3 linked regions of the Drosophila melanogaster genome follow. The protein of the gene in region 1 interacts with the protein of each later gene in a pairwise test. Each region holds a gene or a part of one and is shown in the gene's direction. Other genes may lie near its edges.

What was found. Proteins that work in one complex are often made in the same cells at the same time.
Region 2: the proteins of fend (region 1) and BomBc3 interact in a two-hybrid assay, tested with the Drosophila melanogaster proteins (one large-scale study listed by BioGRID).
Region 3: the proteins of fend (region 1) and Unr interact in a two-hybrid assay, tested with the Drosophila melanogaster proteins (one large-scale study listed by BioGRID).

The regions. Positions count from the first base shown.
Region 1 is NC_004354.4:9,131,341-9,138,776, reverse strand, and holds the start of fend (forked end), read left to right. Parts: upstream 1-3,677; 5' UTR 3,678-4,573; coding exon 4,574-4,837; intron 4,838-7,436. UniProt on the Drosophila melanogaster protein: Involved in the normal targeting of ventral muscle, muscle 12, by motoneurons. May function as an axon guidance molecule involved in neuromuscular specificity.
Region 2 is NT_033777.3:22,084,058-22,090,288, forward strand, and holds BomBc3 (bomanin bicipital 3), read left to right. Parts: upstream 1-3,125; 5' UTR 3,126-3,145; coding exon 3,146-3,203; intron 3,204-3,260; coding exon 3,261-3,302; intron 3,303-3,371; coding exon 3,372-3,568; 3' UTR 3,569-4,444; downstream 4,445-6,231. Other genes in the region: BomT3 (bomanin tailed 3), read right to left, coding at 1,546-1,808, 2,176-2,266.
Region 3 is NT_037436.4:8,437,421-8,444,663, reverse strand, and holds the start of Unr (upstream of N-ras), read left to right. Parts: upstream 1-2,956; 5' UTR 2,957-6,434; coding exon 6,435-6,471; intron 6,472-6,608; coding exon 6,609-7,156; intron 7,157-7,230; coding exon 7,231-7,243. Other genes in the region: CG6983 (uncharacterized protein), read left to right, coding at 112-617. UniProt on the Drosophila melanogaster protein: RNA-binding protein that acts as a regulator of dosage compensation in both males and females.

The DNA.
Region 1 (7,436 bases):
CTCAACGATGTATGGCATTCCATGATTGGGCCATTATTTAAAATGTTCTGATTAAAAAACTGATAATTTTTTACAGAAAAAAGACAGACGATCGATTTTTTGCAAAAAGTCAATATTTCCGATTCGTTTTTTCGGTATAATTCGGCTAAAAATGGTCAGAAAGCTCAGAGATAAATATTTTTTTACTCGTAATTACCAATACTAACTATCTATATCTTTTTTTGACGGACTGTGTAAAATTAATTTTTGGCCAAATTTTCGCATTTTTTGTAAGGGGTAACATCATCAAAATTTGCAAAAAATGGCCAAAAAATAAAATTTCCATTTTTGAACACAGTTTGATTGGAAATTTAATTACGAGCTCAACGATGTATGGCATTCCATGATTGGGCCATTATTTAAAATGTTCTGATTAAAAAACTGATAATTTTTTACAGAAAAAAAACAGACGATCGATTTTTTGCAAAAAGTCAATATTTCCGATTCGTTTTTTCGGTATAATTCGGCTAAAAATGGTCAGAAAGCTCAGAGATAAATATTTTTTTACTCGTAATTACCAATACTAACTATCTATATCTTTTTTTGACGGACTGTGTAAAATTAATTTTTGGCCAAATTTTCGCATTTTTTGTAAGGGGTAACATCATCAAAATTTGCAAAAAATGGCCAAAAAATAAAATTTCCATTTTTGAACACAGTTTGATTGGAAATTTAATTACGAGCTCAACGATGTATGGCATTCCATGATTGGGCCATTATTTAAAATGTTCTGATTAAAAAACTGATAATTTTTTACAGAAAAAAGACAGACGATCGATTTTTTGCAAAAAGTCAATATTTCCGATTCGTTTTTTCGGTATAACTTGGCTAAAAATTGTCAGAAAGCTCAGAGATAAATATTTTTTGTACTCGTAATTACCAATACTAACTATCTATATCTTTTTTTGACGGACTGTGTAAAATTAATTTTTGGCCAAATTTTCGCATTTTTTGTAAGGGGTAACATCATCAAAATTTGCAAAAAATGGCCAAAAAATAAAATTTCCATTTTTGAACATAGTTTGATGGGAAATTTAATTACGAACTCAACGAGGTATGGCATTCCATGATTTGGCCATTATTTAAAATGTTCTGATTAAAAAACGGATAAATTTTTACATAAAAAAGATAGACGATCGATTTTTTGCAAAAAGTCAATATTTCCGATTCGTTTTTTCTGTATAACAAGTGTACATAGTTTTCATCGAATACATTATACCTTTTAAGGTAAAGGGTATCAGGTATATGTAACTACAACTAGTTCAATGCGGGATTGTGTGAAGCATTGCTTTTACACTGCAAAAATATTTAGAAAGAAGTTATGTATGTGGAAACTGGTTGTGCAAATGCTAAGTGAAGTACAAAAAGCTTCAGCATATTAATTCAAAACTAATTTTTTTGGAAATCCTGTCGAGTTCTACCTTTTATATAAAATGAGAAAATTGATTGCTAATGCATACGATTTTTTTTCGGTGCAGTCAGCTGACTGCTTGTTCTTCCCTAATTACCTTCTCTCTGGCGATCATTTCGACAGTTCACCGTAATGTTGCGACAGGGCTAACGGTTTTTTTCGCGTTCTCGTTGCGGCCCTTTTTATTTATTGGCTGGCAACAACAAAAACCGCAAAATGAAAATGGAAATTCGAAGAGCGGCGGAATGAAATGGAAAATGGTCGTGTGGTGGGAAAGTCAAAGTGGGCGGGGTGGTGGGGTTAGAGGGGAGTTGCGGGGGTTTAAGTAAACGGGAGTTTGTACCAAAAAGTTGAGCACTGCAAATGGCTCGCCATGGGCGCATAAATTTCCAAGCCACCTTGTCTGTTTTTTTGTTTATTTATTATTTTGTTTTTTTTTGTATGCTTTCTGTCGCTATGGTGGGTTGCTGCTTTCTTTGCAGGCATTTCTTTTCATATTTTTTTTTAGTTTTATTTGTATTTTCTTTTTTGGCAATTTCCAACATGCAACATGTTGCACTGGAGTCAAGCCGAAACCCAAAACTTTTCCCGGGACTCCCGAAAAAGAAAAAAAGTTGGGCAAAAAATGTTTTTTCGCCTCGCTTCCACTTCCACTTCCTCTTCACGTTTTCGTTTAAACAGTGCAACATCGTACACTCATTTAAACCAAAACATATATTTACTTTTCAGTTTTCAATATTCAGAATTTCAAAAATTCTGAATAGCTTTTTTCTGAAAATATGCTGCAGAAGCCTCTTGTTGAATATCCTTTTCGATTTTCAAATTTGCAGATATCCAAGTTGGACTGTACTTTTTAGGTTTTTTAATATTTTTTTTTGAGAACGGGTTCTTCTCTAGCTTTATTAACGTTTTTGGTGTTGCTGGGGGATGGGTCCGGGGAAGGGGAGGGTTGATAGTAGGGGGTTTTGATATTGTTTGCTGGCAGGCAGCGCAGTCTGTAATATTTTTGCCGCATAAAAGTCAAAATATGCAAATAAACTTGAAGTAGGGACGAGTACTGGAATGGTGGGATTGGGGGCAAAGTGGAAAACGGGTGGGGCGGCTAATACGGTGAAACAGACATAGGAAAACAGACTAATACAATGGGCAGCCGGCTGGAAGGGGGCGGGGTCTGCACTCTGCAGAGGCAGCGCGGCTTAAATAATAAATGTAGTACACGCTTTGAAAGAATTTACTATACTTTGGCAAATGGAGGTTATAAAAACCTACACACACACACGCACACACACACACGCAGGGCTGTCCGGGGTCTGGTGTCCGTACTGTCCGTATTGTCCGTTGTCTGGAGTTCGGGGACCGTGGTCAGGAGTCCTTGGTCCTTAGTCCGGGATGCGGATTCAGTGTGTAGCCGCCGATTTTATGATGTTTTTGAGTAGCGGTGAGTTGCGGATCTCCAGGGTGGGTATAAATAAACAATGCCCCTATAAGGTGGTCAATAGGGGGTTAAGGGTAGCGGCATTTCATATTGTTGCTATAATCAGCGGCCGCTTTGATTCATCTGCATGTCCGCAGTGGCGGACGATGAAGTGGAGTGTAGTGGAGTGGAGAGAGCAGAACCTTTGGTTTTGGCTTTATGCTCTGCCACCCCAGAATCATCAAAGAGCTAACCCGGGAGCCAGCTCCCCAGCCCCAGTCCAATCCAACCCAAGAGGCCGAGCCCAAGGCAACCGATTGCAACCTTAGCCCCACGAAAGCCAAGCCCGAACACCACCCCTACCCATTCAACCAACAACAACAACAAGAACACAAAACACCCAAAGTGGGTACTCCACACAGACTCCACTTGCAACCTGTCCAGTTCCAGTTCCGAGCATGTTCGCTGCTCGAGTTCGATGGTCGGGGTCTAATAGGAATGCTCGAGAACTAGGCCAAAAGCTAGCTAGATAGATGTCTTCTACCAGCTAAACTGAAATGAAATATTTAATTTCCCTAACAGTTGAAGTATTTCTTCAATATATAGTAATACTGCATGTTATCAACATCTTATATATTTATATTTATGTAAGGAAGAAAGCAACAAAACAAACTCTGAGTACTCGCATTTATCCAATATTTTGGGTCAGCAGGACTCGCCCTTCGCCATTCAAGCCAAATCTAGCTATAGCTAACTGGGCTGCTCGCACTGCAGTAGTTGTTGCCGCTTGTTGTAGTTGCCAGCGATGTTGCAGTTGTTGCTTTTATCTCTGTTTCGAATTCGGTTCTCGCGTGCTCTCTGTTTTCGTTGGTTTCGTTCAGAGCAGCATTAACCCTCGACGGCGACGCTCGTTTTTCGGTTGTTCGGCTCCTGAAATCGAAATTGTAATTTCGCACAGCGTATACATTAGATTTTTCATCCTTTACGTGTCGCGCGTGTGCTATTCTTGTTATTGTCCCGTCGTCGCCTTTTTTTTCGTGTGTATACTTAACAAAATCGTTACAAATAAGCATTTTTTTCACGTTTGTTACTGTTACATCTGCTTGGTAATTAAAAGCACAAAAGTCAAAGCAAATAAAGCACGTTAAAGAGAACACCGAAAAAAGAATAACAATAACAAATACAAATACAAGTAAGCTAGCTTGTTGTTGGTGTCGCGCAGCATGTGGAGTTACAGTTAACTGTAACAGTTAACGGACAGCAAAGCGGCAGGCGGAGAAAGAGGTGTGTAGGAGCAGTGGGAGAAGCACAAGGAGCAGCCGAAGCGAAAAGAGAGGTAGAGAGTAGGATTTACAGCTTCTTCGCTTCACTAAATGCAGTCGACGCTGCGATTATTATGTGCCAGCTCCAATAACAACAAACGCAGCAGCAGCAAAAAACCGCCGCAGCAGCAGCAGCAACAACAACAACAACAGCACCACCACTTGATACGAAAATAAACAAACAAAATCAATCAATTAATCAATCTGCTGAGCACACCGCTCTCCACGCCCACACACACACGCGCAACAACACAGGCACAACAACAACACACACGAGTGCAAGTCAACGCCCACGCCCATTGGAGAAAAAGGAGGGAGTGGCAGGACGACAACAAGCAAAGGAGTCGTTGGAGAAAGGAGGAGGCGAACCACGAGGACGAAGACAACATGTTCCACTCACTTGTTTTGATGGCCTGCGCCCTTGCCGCCCTCTCCGTCGCCCAGGGGGCGGGGTCCGCTCGATCCAAATCGCTGCCGTTATCGCTATCGCTATCGGTATCGGTATCCTCGTCATTGGCATCGGCATCCAGTCCAGGAGCTGCTGCTGACCCAACAGCCGCCTTCACCGTCACCGCGACCGCCCCCACCCCCGCAAGTGCTCCCTTTGCCGGCAAACAGCTAAACAGATGCCGTCAAAGTTGCTATCAGCAGGTAAGAATCCAAGTGAATACATATAACTAAGAATCCCAATTGAAGCAACAGAAACTCCAGACTCAGACTCGTTACTCGCACTGAGAACTCCGGGAACCCGAGATAAGACCTCGGATCGGATCGGATCGGATCGTATCGGATCCGTTTCGAACCCAATTCGTTTGATGGACAGTTGTATGCCCAGTTGAGGGGCCATATAACCGATAGGGCATTCGCTGTGTACACAGCGAAAAATAATATATGGCTGATATAAAGTCGGAGGATCGCTGTAGATTATGGATTGGCAAGTGCAGATTAGAGAACAGCTGGATTTCGAATAATATACGAATGGTTTTCAGGGGTGATAGCCCAATTTGAATATGGTACATGGAATATGTATGTTACATAATATGTGAATACCCACATATGAAACTTACAGTTTTCAAATCTTTATGTAACTACAGCTTTGCTTTCCATTCAACCCTTGATTCATATGTACATACATGTACATATGCATGCACACATCATTGACTTCTCTATGTAGACATGTATCTTCAAATTCTCATGTTAATTAACAATCCGTGAATTTGCATGTTTCGGTTATTTTTCATTTCCTTAAAATCGTATTTACGGGCGGCATCTGGTTTTCCTAATTTATTCATAGTTTCGAAACCGCATTCTCCAAAAATGGCCGAACGAGGCGAACGAGAATAGGGTTGGAAGAACTTCCTTGGACTTTTTGATCCATGTAAAATTTACTTTTGCCCTAATAACTTGCCCAAGATTCAGGGGCTTAAGATTCAAATACTTCACTGGAAACGCTCGAGTAAAATAGTTTTCCCAACACACAGGCACATTTCCCCCGTCACTTTTCAAGTGCATCGCTGTGCCGTCAGGTTCTTCAGCTAATGCGATTAAGATTGCCCTAATTGAGGTCGAATGTCGAATTGGCCTCCGGCTACCCGCCCCGTTTTTTCTCGCCGTGTAGGGAACAGTTGTGCCCTGGACGACACCGACCTTCGAGGTTCGGAGACGCGGACACAGAGACGTCGATGACAATGACAATGGGGTTCGGTTTTCGGGACCTGAACAACTGGAGGACTGAAAGACCTGAGGAACTCGAGAAGGCGACGTCATTTTTTATGGCCGCTCGCTGGGTCTTTTATCTTTTATCTACGGGTTGACATCGCAGCTATTGCCGCTGCTGCTTCTGTTGCCGGTTATTATTGCTGTTGTTGTTGTTGTTGTTGTCGCTTACCCTACCGCTTACCGCTCAGGTGGTCACCAGTCACCGCCGGTCGCTAGAAAGATGTCAACTGGGTGGTCGAGCATCGCTAATAGAGATCGGGAATTCAATTTGATCCGTCCATAGACAATGGCTACAAAAAAAAAAAAGACCAAAATAAATGAACAGAGCGGACATATAAAAGCCCGACAATCCCGCGCAGGAATAAAAGCTCTCGGATCGAATTTGTACAAAGCTGTCACAGATGGATGGACAGAAGTTGAGCTGAAAGGGAACCCCTTTACCTTTACCTCTTTCCGAAAATAGAGAGAGAGCAGGTGGGCAGAACAAAGGTCTCTGAAGAAGTAGAGGCAGCCAAAGGAAATACAGAAGACGAAACTTTGAGAAATCACCGCGAAAAATCTGAAACAATTGAGAAGGGGAATCCAAATGGGAATAACTTATGGCCAAGTGTTGTGCAGTGACTTTGGATTAAATACTCTATCATTTACAAAATTAGTCTTGGAAAAGGCCCACTTATCAGTTTTAAGCCAAAATAAGCCTCGAAAGCAAATGGAAATTTCCAATTAATTGAACTCACCGCAATTTCGAGGCTGGCAAGCTTGCTAAGAGCAAATAAATACACAAAACTAAAGACCCAACTAATCAATATGAATAACAAAGTTTTCCCACCAACAAATCCAAGTTGAAACTACAATCGTGTCGAACTGAATCAGAGAACTCACACCACCACCGAGAAATTTCAAAATGTAGTACGCTGAGTTGACACTTTCTTTTGTTTTTTCCCCTAAAAACAAACTTTGGATCCCCGGGGATTGGGTTTTCCCTCCGCTCCGCTGCATGTAACTGATCCCCAGCGAAATAATTTCGTATATGTATTTGTCTCCCCGATGTACGAGTATTGAAATCAAGACGCAGCGCAGAAGTAGAAGTTTCCCAAAATGATTTTACACCACCCAAGCAACCAGTTGATTTCTAAATGCGTGACTTCCTGGAACCGCGCTGATCTGTCAGCGATATCGGAAACAGAGGATGGAGTTGGGCTGACAACTGTGGACGGTTAATAAATTTCAATCAAATGAAATCAAATGAAATCAAATTTTCATATCGATTCGGTACGAGGAACTCCCCGCCAAGTGCACATGCATAAATCAAGTGGGAAAAACACAAGAGTATAAATATCATCTCCGATTTCCAAGTAAGTCGAGCTCTCTGCGGCTACACGGCATGGGACTTAGATTGGAATTGGAATTGGAGTTGGAATTGGAATTGGAATTGGGTTTTCCATTCGAGTGGGGCAAGCAATGCAGCAAGGCAACCGAGAAACCGACAAACTGATATACCGAACCGGGCAGAACGAGGCAGTCAACCCAA
Region 2 (6,231 bases), on another chromosome or scaffold:
TTTACCTTGCAGCATGGAAATTGAACGCTAATGGCTCTGCAACCATTACCTGCCCCAAGGACCCGTCACTGCGAATCTCAATTGCTGTTGCATGCAGCAGCGAATTTTGCACCTAACTTGTGGTGCTTCTTTGTAAGTGTCTAATTGAAAAAGTGCTTGGCAAGGCGAAATCTTTTCATATTAGCGGGGGGAAAAAAAAACAGTTTTTATGAAGTGCACTGCAAATATTAATTTTTCAGGAGGCTTAATGCTTTGGGCAACATCTTTAGATTGCCCACATCCTGGAGAGAACCCACACTGCGAGCCCTGACATCGACAAGGAGGTAATCCTGAGCAACACTTCCTTTGAGCCTAAACGAAAGGAAATGTATTCATTGGAAAAAGAATGAACATTTTTATACATGTGTATTCAGCAAATAAATTATTACCAAATTACTATTTCTCCCATGAATATATACTAATATCAATGTTTAATGGGTATATATTTAATAAAAGCATGATTTTCTTAGAAAATTAATCTAAGCCCAATGTGCTACTTCTTCCACTGAAAACCCGAAGCTACTTTACTGACACTGAAGATTTTCGATGTGCGCATTCTACTTCTAAAACTACTACTACTACTAAAACTACTCATTCTAAAACTACTGATTGCACAGGCTATAAATAAAGTAATCTTTAAGCGTATCTACTTTGAAATGGTTATTTTCGTTTCGAATGTGTAATTATACATGTGCTGCAAGAGTCTTAACTAAACATATATCCACGAAATGTACTATTTTTAAGCGTGCACGCAACCTTTTCTTAAATGCAAAAGAACCAACTTAAAGAAAGGAAGTCCTTGAAAACTGTTTAACAAAATGCATGCTATGATACCGATAATTATACTTAATGACCCTTAATTTGATTCCGGTTCATTTGCTTCAGCTTAGCTCACCAAAAGCTCGCCGAACGAACAAAAATCGAACTTGTAATTGTATCAATTAAGTGCTTGTGGATTCACCGAGCGGTTCTTTTGGTTCAACTTTTTGGAAATTCGATGCCCTTGCATATTTAGCCAGGGCAAGTCCTTTAATTAAGACTGACAAGCAGGATGGCTGAAACTTTGAAGAGCTTATGAATTATTTCCTTTGCAGGACTTTGACTCCTTCAACCGAACAGCACAGTCGGTTTTATGGCTTTAAGGGTATATTAATCATCACTCTTGAACAGTTGCTACTCATTTATACGTGTCTGAACTGAATTACAATGAATACCAATTATAAAATGCACAGGAATTAAGGATATTATTTTTAGAAGCTATAGGTGGCATGCCATTTATTAGTAGCGTTAGCTGAGTATTTGATAAGTTTATTCACTAGTTTTACTTTAACAGAGGGACTTGTTTTTAACCTTTAACAAAACCTAACAAAAGCTCATTCTGTAAGTATATAAAAGTAGTCACCGCTGATAAAATATATATTTTTTTTATTTAAGTCTATATAATCTAAGTTTCAGACGATGCTTGCTCTTCGCGCTTAGCGCTAGCAAAGCTTCGAGATTATAATCTCAGCCGCTTATAATCTGCGTAAGACCGCCATCATCGTAGCCACCTCCACCGCCGCCTCCGTAGCCTCCTCCACCTCCTCCTCCGCCGTTACCATAGCCGGGTCCAAAGTTGCCCGAATATACTGGACGACGGCCACCTCCTCCACCTCCGCCGCCGTTGTAGTATCCTCCACCGCCTCCGCCTGCGTTGTATCCACCTCCTCCTCCTCGTCCTCCGTTGCCACCTGTGTAGACTCCAGGTCCTTGGCCTCCGGGTGGATTACCTAATAGTGATATTTAAATCAGTTTCTTGAGGAGTAGTAGTTACTTAATTGCGCGCTAGCTACTGCATTTTTTACGCAAGCCAGCAAATGTACTATGCGCTATAGAAATTAAAAGCTTAAAGCTAAGTGTTCGGAATTATATTATTCATAAACTTAACCAATAACAAATGTTTAGAGTATCGTTAATAATCACTTAATGACTTTCGTTGCCAAGAAATACCATAATATAATAACAAATTGATTGTTCATTCAAACTTTCGCTAATGAAAACACAAAATTTCCTTTTAAACTATGCCTGATGTGGCAGCGACGAAAATCGTTGAACAATTTTTGAATAAATGGCCCAAATTAATAGGCATTGACTTACAGTCGTAGCAACCGCCACCGATGTAAACAGCCGCCTCCGTTAGAGCCAGTGCAAAAAAAGCGATAATCGCAAATGCCGTCAAGGTTCTCATTGTGGCTGGTCTATTAGAACGTCGAACTGGTCTGGACCAGGTACGAACCGCAACAGCAGCTTATATACGATGCACTCATCGATTCCGATTCCGATACTGAATTTGAATTCGAATTCAAACCCAAACAGACCTTATCGCTGCAAAGAACTATTGCTGTGCAAACAAACCACTACGTATGTATTAAGTATTAATCTCAGGGAATTGCCCGCGGATGGGTTTCAAAAACAATCTGTAGCGCATCAGTTGGTCAGTCGTATTGCATTCAAGATACTCTACGTTACCTTTTTAACATAACAAATACACAAAATCTGTAAAATCTATAATAAGTCAGACACTTTTCATTTCTACAAAGTTGCAAAGATTTATTTTTAATGAAATGTATTTGTTTTCAAATATATTTTTTGCTTTTTCATTGTATTAAGTATCTTATTATTTAAATATAAATTGTTAGCTTTAGAACTAAAGCTTCTACATTTCACTCACGAGTCACGACTTTCGGTTCTGTAACCAGTTTTCCTTAGATGTATGGATAAAATTTAATGGTGTGCGATTCTCTGGAATCGCTTGCCATTCATGTTTACGTCTGGGAATAATTGTAAACCGACTTTTCGGGGCGTGACTGTCATAAGTTTCTTTGAAGAAGTTCAAGGAAATCAACTACGTCGACCTGATGCCACAAAACCGTGTGCGGAAAACCCCATCGAATTGCGATTTGATAGTGTTCTAGTGTGAAATTAATTTAAATATATTGTTCAAATACAAATCGAAAGCTCCAAACGCTTAGGCTTATGCAAATCGATTTTGATTCGGATCGAATCAAGTGCCGGACTATATAAGTAGCGTGAGAGTCGATACGGTCATCTATCTATCGGCTTTAATATGAAGTACCTGACGTGTGTGCTGCTCCCGTTGGCTTTAATTCCGACTCTGATCGGCGGTAAGCTGGACGGGATTGCTGCTGACGCTAATTGATACACACTGAAATTATTTCCAGCTCATCCCAGCACAGTGGTGGTGAATGGCGTCTGTCTGACTTGTAAGTTGCGATTGTTTTGCCAGCTAGGCAATTGGACAACTTAATGAATAATAATATGCACTCGAAAAGGTCCCAATCCGAATGGTGAACCCGTCTACCTGGATGGCCAGCAGTACCGCAGCTTCTCCTCATCCCCTGGCGATGGTAATGTGGTCATTTCCCGTGGAAATGACGGTAGTGGCGGTGGAGGTGGCACCATTTACCGGAGGGGTGGTAATACCATCGTCAATGGCAGATGTCAGCACTGCAACGTGGATCCCTATTAAAGGCTTAAACAATAAAGTCTGAATATTGAATTAAAATTGCGCACATATCGATCAATCCATTTCATACTTACACTTGGCTATGTACAACATCATTTAGCTAAAAGCATTGACAATCGTTCAACCCAGTCTCTCTGCAAATTCGATGAATGTGATGGTTTCGAGTGCAGAGGGCATCATCTGATGGAGGCAAAAAATGGAAAAATGAGCGTTTTATATTCAGTTTTTGTTACCACGAAGTACACGTGGAGAAACATGAAACATCCGAGTTATTTTATGCTGCGAAAAAAGCGTGAAGAATGTTATAATTGCTTTTGGTCGAAATATTCAGTCCTGAAAATCAAATTTTTCACATTTAAAATAAGAATTTTTTTTAACGATTTCCAGTACCTCATTGCGTGCACTGCGAGCTGTCTGTTTGTGAACATTGGCTTCTCTCATCCTTCTCAAAAATAAGTGATACAAAAGCGTTACATTTTCAAAAGCCTTGGTTTCAAAACAGTCTGCAAATAAGGGAAGACCCACGGATTTTGTGACGGAAAAATAGAGAAATTCGTGCTGCCAATGGCATCGATTGTTTGAACTTCAGCTAGTTGCCACATAAACTGGGCTGGGAGCTGACGTCGCTGTCTCCAGAGTATTGCACAGCATCGATAATCAAATGCGAGTAACCAACCGTGCAATTTACGCCAGTGGATGTGTTGTCAATGAAAACGCTGGCCTGATGTAAGGGTGCTTAAGGTTGCGCGTGCCACGTGGCGTATACGTAATGCTACTGCAGGAACGGCAAACAGAAGCCTCTCAAATATTTGCTTTGAAACTAACTACTCGACAAACAGTAAACACTTAGTGCATACACACACACACACACACACACACACTTCCCAAGAATATTTTGTGCAGAAGTTTCGAATAAAACTGATGCTGTGTTTTTATATACAGAATAAGAAGGGAAAAGTTTCATTCAGGCTTAGCATGCGAAAACAATTAAAATTGTAAAAGGATTACTTAACAATCATACAATTTTGATTTAAGCGTATAACTTAAGAGAATAGTATTGATTCCCGGACATCCAAGAATAAAAACCTAAGCTTTATTTGCAATTAAAAAAAAATACAATGCATTGAAATCAATGGACTGCCCTTGCGGATGTGCTAAATTCAGAAAAACGCTCGACTGGCTTAAAATTCAATGAACATTTGGGTGGCATAACCATACCAATCGTAAAGGGTTTCGATACACTTTCTCTGATTTACTTTTAATACACTTTATTGGCAGAAATGTGTCGTTTCCTATCTTTTTGGGTCACAAATTGTTTACACGCAACTTTAGAAGCCCCATGAAGCTGAGGAACTCAGTCCTAGTCCAGAACAGGGTGGTTTATCTGCCTAGCAACTTAAGGACCTTGAGCTGGGGAATGTTCGAAATTGAATTTATGTTGACTTGTATTTGATTTCAGGTCAATTTCTGTTCTCTTGTGCCTAATTTGTGCGGCATTAGAGGGGAATTTCTGGGGCAGGTGAAAGGTGAGCCGATCGGACTTGTGGCAGCAGTGGCCATCTCCTTCACGCTTTTCAAATAAATTTTAACTTTTTTCTGTTTCGCCCCCGCAGTGTTTTGCCAGAAGGCAGAATTGATTTATTTGTACACCAATGTTGTTTGCCCTGGGGGCAGCGCCTTTGGTAATATTGTCACGTGCTTGGAAACTCTTATATCTGCCACTGGTTGAGCTTTATTTGAAAATCCCGGCCGCATAGCAAATTTACATAGCTTTAATTATTATATTTTACCCCCAACTCGCCAATGCTTGTATAAAGTCGCTCTTCTGTTTACTGCCTCCTTTTGGGGCGCCAGAAGATATTAATAAATAAATTAAATTCCATGTACCCAGCACTTCATTATCGACAGGATTATTCCTTTTCCCACCATCGAAATTGGAATTCCGACTTTGCTGAAAGCGTATAATTAACGAAAATGCGATAAGTGCTGGAATTATGCGGAGAAAAGCATCAGTTTCTGCGAAGTCATCCTTACAAATGAGACACGTGAAATAGCTTTGGTTGATTGTGAAATTTAAGGTATTTTGTGTGTGTTGCTAAGGGATACGACTATTCTATACTTCAATTAAATGAATTAATTTACTACTAAAGACCTAATTTATTGCTTAAGCGTTTCGACAGGTTTATATTTACTAAATCATAAACATATTAAAACGGATGCTACATAAAAAGTTTATGGGGTGACAAGGTCACGAAAAGTATGACAACTGCGAAAAACTTGAAGCTGACTTCTGCAGTAATTCGCAAGTTAAACTTTGAAGGGCATACACGAACAAAAAAAAAAGGAAAAAAGAGCTCAGAAGTGTAGCTAAAACTTTGAAAGGACAACTTTCTGCGATGGAAATTCTTTTGTAAATACCCAGACAACAGGTTGAATACTGCCAAACCAGCAAAACGAATTAACCCAAAAATTCACTTAATTGCAACCGGCAAAGTGGCCTCACATCTTAGGAAAAATAACCATATTTTTACCTATTAGGATAACATTTATGGTTTTCCTAGAACATGCATTACCATGGAACTAGTACATCATTTTTCAGGGTGTGAAAATTCAATTGAACTTCTCTCACAATCAAGGTCAAAATGATTTAAGAAGAGTTTCAGTTC
Region 3 (7,243 bases), on another chromosome or scaffold:
CACAACTATAGAACCACCAGTCCTTAGATGTATGCATAGATTTATATTTATAGATTTATACTTATTGTTTTTTTTTTAACCAAATCTAACATCCACTTTTCTTTTTTCAAGACCACCATGTGCACTTCGACACGAACACGGTGAAGGATGACTTCGAATCGGACAGCTGTGTGACATACCAAAGGTCTGGTGACACGATTGTGGTGAGCCTGGGCTTTCTGCAGATCAGGCATCGCTATCTGATCGAACTGAAGCTGCCGACGTCGCTATTCGGCGATGCCAAGACGCTGGCCAGCAAATTTGAGCCGGTGATTAGCGCCACGCCGAGCTTGCACTGCAGGATCACGGAGTTCGAGGGCACCAAGCATGATGAGCACGACTTTTTCGAAATGAAAATCGAGTTCTTTGCCTACAAGGAGAAGCTGTTGCGCGAGGTCCTGCACATTGTCAGCTCATCGAACGCCAAGGAGCTGCTACAGCTGGTCATAGCCGCTCGGGTGTTGGGCAAGGGCAAGGGTACTCCTATGCTGCGGACTGGAATCCATTGCATCGGCGTCGAGAGGGATGACGATGAGTCGGAGGCGTCGGATTTCGCTGGCTTCGACAGCAAGCCCTAAGATGGCAACCCAATTCTCGCCTTGCCGCAACTTGTTTTCTTAGTTAATTGCAAATATCTGCATAGTTCTTAAGTGAAAGAGAAGAGAATAATATGTAACATTAGTTATTACCTACAAGTTATCGTGTACGTAAATTCATTGAGCATTTACATTTAGATTTCGGTTTCACTTTTGCTTCGTGTACTTAACATTTGTAAAATAATCGTGTACGTGTTTGTGTTACACGTGAGTGGGCGAACTGCCAAATATACTTGACATTTTTATTGATATTCAAGACCGTGTTATGTCCCAAATTCTTGATTTTGCCACTAAGATTAAAATGTTAAACAGTTTGTCTTCAAATGAATATTGAAATGTATTAAAGCCATGTAAGCTGAGGAAATTTCATGCCCTTTTAAGCAATGGACAGTTTTAATAGCCTATAGCTAAACGGGTTTTTAAAATTTTAAAATTTCGCTGTACATACATAAAGACGTATTTATTTATATTCCATATAAACTGCACCATACACAACAAATATTGTCACAAAAATATATGTTTGAAATATATCCCTAGAACAACACAGAGACCAAACTTTGGACCTTTTGCAAATGTGTATAGAAATGTAACGCAATCCAGGCAATTAAATAACCCTAAAATATGCAAAACCAGATGCAATTTAATGTGTGACCAAATCGAAGTGCTCGTAACGTAAAAATTATAAACATGATATTAAATCTTTTTAACTACAATTAGCCCGAGATTTATATTTAGCGAGGGCGTTTTGATAATCTATTCATGTTGATAACATTTTGCACTGTCGAATGTATAAAAGGCACCGTAACCAATTAACTAGATTTTGTAAATTGTAATCTTTAAAAATCTGTTCAAGGATAATCAATTTATCAGCATACATATGTATTGGATCCCATTATCATGCAAAATACCATTTAAGTTAATTATGGATTAAGCAACCAAGGAGCTGCTGAAATAAAATTCGTTAAAAGACCCAGGAAGACGTAAAACTAATGTGATTTTCTGTGGGCTGCTAAAAGGAATCTAAAAAAGGGATTTTTTGTGTTTTATGTTTTATGTGACAGAACTTCCGAAAATTAAGAATTAAACTAAGTGAATACACTTCTGCATTTTTGGGGGAATTCCAATTTTACAAAGATAATAACATATCTTCCATATTTATTTATCAGAACAAATAAAACTAGTTTCATTTTTTAAATCAATATATTGCCGCTTAATAAAAGGCGAAAAGATTTTGGGGTTGGCTTAAGTTAGAAATAGCTAGCGATGGTTCTTGTCTCGAATACGTACAGTTTAAAATTAAATATTTAGATGTAATTTTCTTAGTAATAATCCATTTAATTACATAAATTGCTTTTGTTTATTATTAAAACTAAGAATATTACATAAAAGTCACATACAATTCATATTTTATAATTTGCAGTGATAGCATAGAAAATGACATAGATGTATAACCCTGCACTTCTACTACTTTTAGACATTGCATTAAAGATAGTCCCTTTAACTGAATTAAAGTTAAATCGTTATCTTAGATAAGTTTTGATTATTTAAATATAGGAATAGAAAAGCTAAGAGATCCCTGCTCCTACTCCCATGACCACTGACGTCACAATTGTCCCTCTCTTCGCACACCTTCCAACACTGCCATCGTGCTGTCGGCAAATATGGCGCCCGCTAGCAGTTGTTGTGCTGTCGTGTGGTACGTGTGGCTGGTCCAGAAAATTCTCGTTCGCTTCAAATAGGACTATTATTTAACTCAAATTCGGAACGAAAATATGCAGAAAATGTGCCGCGAACAAAGCTGTGATGGAAAAATATGAAATGTGTTAGGGAAATTAGTTTTTAAATGGCGAATTAACGTTTTTTCGTTGCCCAGCCAGATTTTCTACGCTTCTGTGTGTGTGTGTGTGCGTTTGAGGGTACCAAATTTGCAGCCCGAAAAAAAAGTTGATGAAAATTCGTTTTTTTGCTACCAACTTGGCACTTCGGTGACTGTGCATGTGTGTGTGCAGTCTGCGGGGTTGCTAATTTTACGCTAAAAACCACAACAATAATGTGTAAAAATAGTTTACGATTGCAATTGCGTGTGCGTGTGTATGGGCGTGCATGTGTGTGTGCGTAGTAGGTTGCGCCAGTGTGTGTGCAATTTTTTCCGGCAGGCAAAAATCTCTCCATTTGCAACACTGAAAAATCGATAAAACTGCAGCAAGACTTTCGGTGTAGATTTCACTAGCCAAAAATAAAAGAAATAATAAAAAAGATGTATTAATTTTTCTTAATCGTTTCCACCTTTCTCTTTTTCTCATTCAACAGCTTTTGTAACTAAAACTCCGTTTTGACATCACTTTCATCATAATCTGAAAAAATAATAATAATATAAAAAAACAACAACAAATATGATAAAAAAATAAAAAAATCACCATCGAAAACGAATCAAAAAATAATACATACAAATATAAATCGCAAATAATTGAAAGTTACAGCAGAAATAAAAAACAACAACAACATAGCTCAAAAGGAAAAAGTCAAAGCAAAAACTTTTTAAGTTTTTTGGACTCTTCTTTGTTTTTGTTTCGTTTGCTTTGCAAAGAAAAACACACAAAACAGAAAAAACGAGAATTTTTACGCCGCCCGTCGGTGTGAGCGAGACAGACAGAGAGGGAGATAAAGCGACTGCGCAAATAAAAAAAGAAAACAAAACAACAAACAACATAAAAAACAAGCCAAGCTTGAAACGAAGACTTTCAAATAAAACAACAACAAAACCAACAACAAACCAAACAAATTGAAACGCTGTGAAATTAACTCGTCAATACTCAAAAGCACCAACAAATAAATAAACAAAAAGAAAAGCTAAAACAAAATAAAAGGCAAACCACGAAGGAGCAAGTAAAGCGGAGTTTAACAAGAAAACGGCAAAAGCACTGAAAACAAAAAAGCAACGGGAAACGAAACTAACGTGAAGTCAAAGGCAACGGCGCTGCGGCGTTCGGACTCTCGAATAAAACAAAAACAATTCAAGCAAAACCGCAAAACCTACACTTGGAAAAACGCTAAATAAATCCCAAATTCCTCATTATTTTTCCTGAAAAGCTTTAATTTAATTACGAATTTTTTGTTGTTAAGTCAGAGTGAATTCAATTTGCTAATTAATTTAAATTAAGACATCAACAACCGAGCTACAAAAGCAGCAACAACAACAAACAAACAACAACCAACAAACAACTGAATTAATGTTTTAAAGTACAAAATAACCGGGAGTAAATCAACAACAAATAATTTAAACATATTAAAAACGATTTAATTTAAAACGCAACATCAATCTAAATTATTTAACTAAACATAAAAACAAACACTGCTAGAATTTAAGTCCAAAAACAACTGATAAACGCCCACAAGGGCGAAAGGGAAGTGGGAGACAGAGCGATAAATGGAGGAGAAGCGAGGAGAGCTGAATAAAACCGATCAAGCAACAATTGTGCCGCAAAAAAAGTGTGAATAAAAAATATATACTAAAAAAATAACGGTAACAATAAAGAAAACATTTAAAACCAAAAATCTACAAGAATTCTATAAGTTTTAAGTCACGTTTTACACAGACCTACAACAACAACACCAGCAATTGAACTTAGCCAATAAATTTAATTAAAACAATAAATTAGTGAAAAAAAAATAAACGGATTAAGCCAATATATATAGAGAACGCATAACAAATTCAAAACTGCGGCCTTGTGCCAAAAAAACAGTTTTTATTTTTTCCAATAAAACATTGTTTTTTACTAGTTTTCAATTCAGATTTTTTTATAAGTGTACCTAGTGAGAAATGTTAAAAGTCTAAAACAGCAAAAGCAACTGCAACAAACGGAAGTAAAACGGAGAAAAGAAAAACAAAACAAATTCAAAGAAAGATTTAACAACTCTGTGATAATTACTGTAAATTTATAAATTTAAAGAAAAAAAAAAAACAAAAACCTAAAGAAAAACCACAAAAAAATCTCTAATTAAATGAAAGGAAAACCCCGTCATTTTTAACAGTAGGCGAAGAAGAAGAAGGAGCGAAAGAGGAAGCAGAAAGCAGAAAAACATCTTAAACCAACAACAACTTTACACTTAAGAGCAAATGCAAATGAAAAGATAAAAAACATTGAAACAAATTCGTGATATCTTAAAGGACTTCGATACATATATACTATAGTATATTATATATTATATTATATAAACTATTAAACTAAGCTTAAATCTAGTGAGCGTCAACCGAGAAAACAAAAACAAAACAATGGAATAAGTGAATAAACAACAAAACCAACCAACACAAAGCAAAAAATAAAAACCCTAGGTTATGAAAAGACTTCAAAACGCATTCAAAAAATATATATATTTAAACAAAACAAAATAAATCGTAGACTTAAAGTTCAACATAGTAAATGAGCGAGGATAACTTTACATAACGGGTGTCCTATATCTATTATATACATATATAAAAACAAAAACAAAAAAACATTAAAACTCATAATTTTTGCTTAGTGAATAGTAAATGAAACAGCAATAAAACAGCAACAAAACAACAAAAAAGAAAAAACAAATTATACAAATCGTGCAACCGAAAAGTAATAGCAACGTACAGCGAAACAAAATAGGAAATCGACACAGAAAGAAAGAAAGATACAGAGAGAGAGTGAGCGAGGAACCGGAAACGGAAGTCCCGAGAAGAGGAAGAAGGAGATTTAAACCTCGTCCCCCAAAAATCATCGTTGTACTAAAGGTATTCGAAAGTAAATAAAAAATCACTACTACTTCCTATAAACCACAACGATTGCCTACAAAATATATATTATATATATGTATACTAAATAGAAACCAATATAATCAAGCAAAACACACAAAATATTCAAATATCAAACAAAGCTAATCTAACCCAAAAGTAAAAAGTATTCCCAGTGTATTTTTCTAGTAAAACTAAAGTAAAAATATAAAAAAAAATCAACCAAATTCATTTCAAACAAAATGCAATAATTCAATAATAATTCAAAACTCGAACAAAAATAAAAACACCAACGGCAGCAGAGCTGGTGTGCATTTTCATCGTAAAACCACAATATTTTGAATACACAAAACAAACAAAAAAAATATTTCAAGAACAACAACTTTAAAAAGAAATACAACCTACAACAGACCCAGGAAGGAACTTCAAACTACCAAAACAAACCAACAACGTTACAATATTTGTCGGCATTTTTTACAAGAAATATAAAAACACAAAACAACAAGGAACACAAAAAACCAACAAACAAACAAACCAACAACAGCAAAGGAAAGCTAAGTAAAACAACCACATTTTTTGCGGGGAATGCCCTCAAGAAAAGACAAAAATTTTTATTAACTTCGAAGACAAGGAATTTCAGTGCCTCTTGTGCCAGTGTTTAGCCAAAATATATATACACAAAAAACAAAACAAACAACAAATAAAAAACAAATACGTATTTATTGCTTAGTTTTTTCTCTTTGATATAAAACTACACGAAAAATATAAAAAAAAGAAAAAAAAAACATAAAAACAAAATTTAACAGAAGTGATATCACGAAATCTGTTTTCGGTCATTTTTCGCGCTTTCTTCAACTTTAACTCTCGTTCCAATAATTCTCGTCATTCGCATCCATTATTGGTAAATCGGATTAAACCACTGACCATCCGATAACACCTCTTACATCGCAATCACCATCGCCAAGAACCAGTCTCCAATTTGCTAGTCCTTATCAGCATTTTCTTTGTTTGTTAATATCCAATCAATCAATCAATCAAACATGAATACCCAATCGAAGGTGTACCGTACCGGCGAAGGTAAGTCCGAAATTGGGTCTCTTATTAATCTAGTTTATATAAGTCCTTGTTTTAAACTATTGGCATGTTAAACTATTTGGCATGTTGTTATTTTAGTCCTTATAATGTTTGATTTTATTTCCCCTGCAATGCTGTAGAAATCTATGACAACTTGCCATGCGATAGTTATTTCAACATGAATGCCATTCGCAACCTGGGAATCCCAACAACGTTTCCGACCATTGGAACATTTACACTTGACTCTACTACGTTGGGACTGCAGCCGCAGGGTCAGGGCCCGTCGCCCCAGCAGCAGCAGCATCAACAGCAACAACAACAGCAGCAGCAGCAACATCAGCAGAATATGCACCACCATCAACATCAGCAGCAACACATGCAGCAGCAGCAGCAACAACAACAACATCAGCAGCAACACCAACAGCAGCAACATCAACAACAACAGCAACATCAGCAGCAGCAGCAGCAGCAACAACAGCATCCAACCATTGGAATGTTCGATGCCAACGAGGTTAACGATGTCATCCAGAATCCTCCTCAAATCGGGGTATTCCAGTCTAACAGCGTTCTGACCAACGGTGCCGGCAGTGGCTCCTCGATCTTTGGCTCCCAATCGAGCAATTCATCGGCGGCAGCTGCAGATCCCAGCCAGACCACCCGGGAAACTGGCATCATTGAAAAGTTGTTGGTGAGTAGAAGAGAGACACTTTCGCGTGACCACAATATCTAATTTTACTTTATTTGTTTTCATCTCAATTATAGCATTCGTATGGAT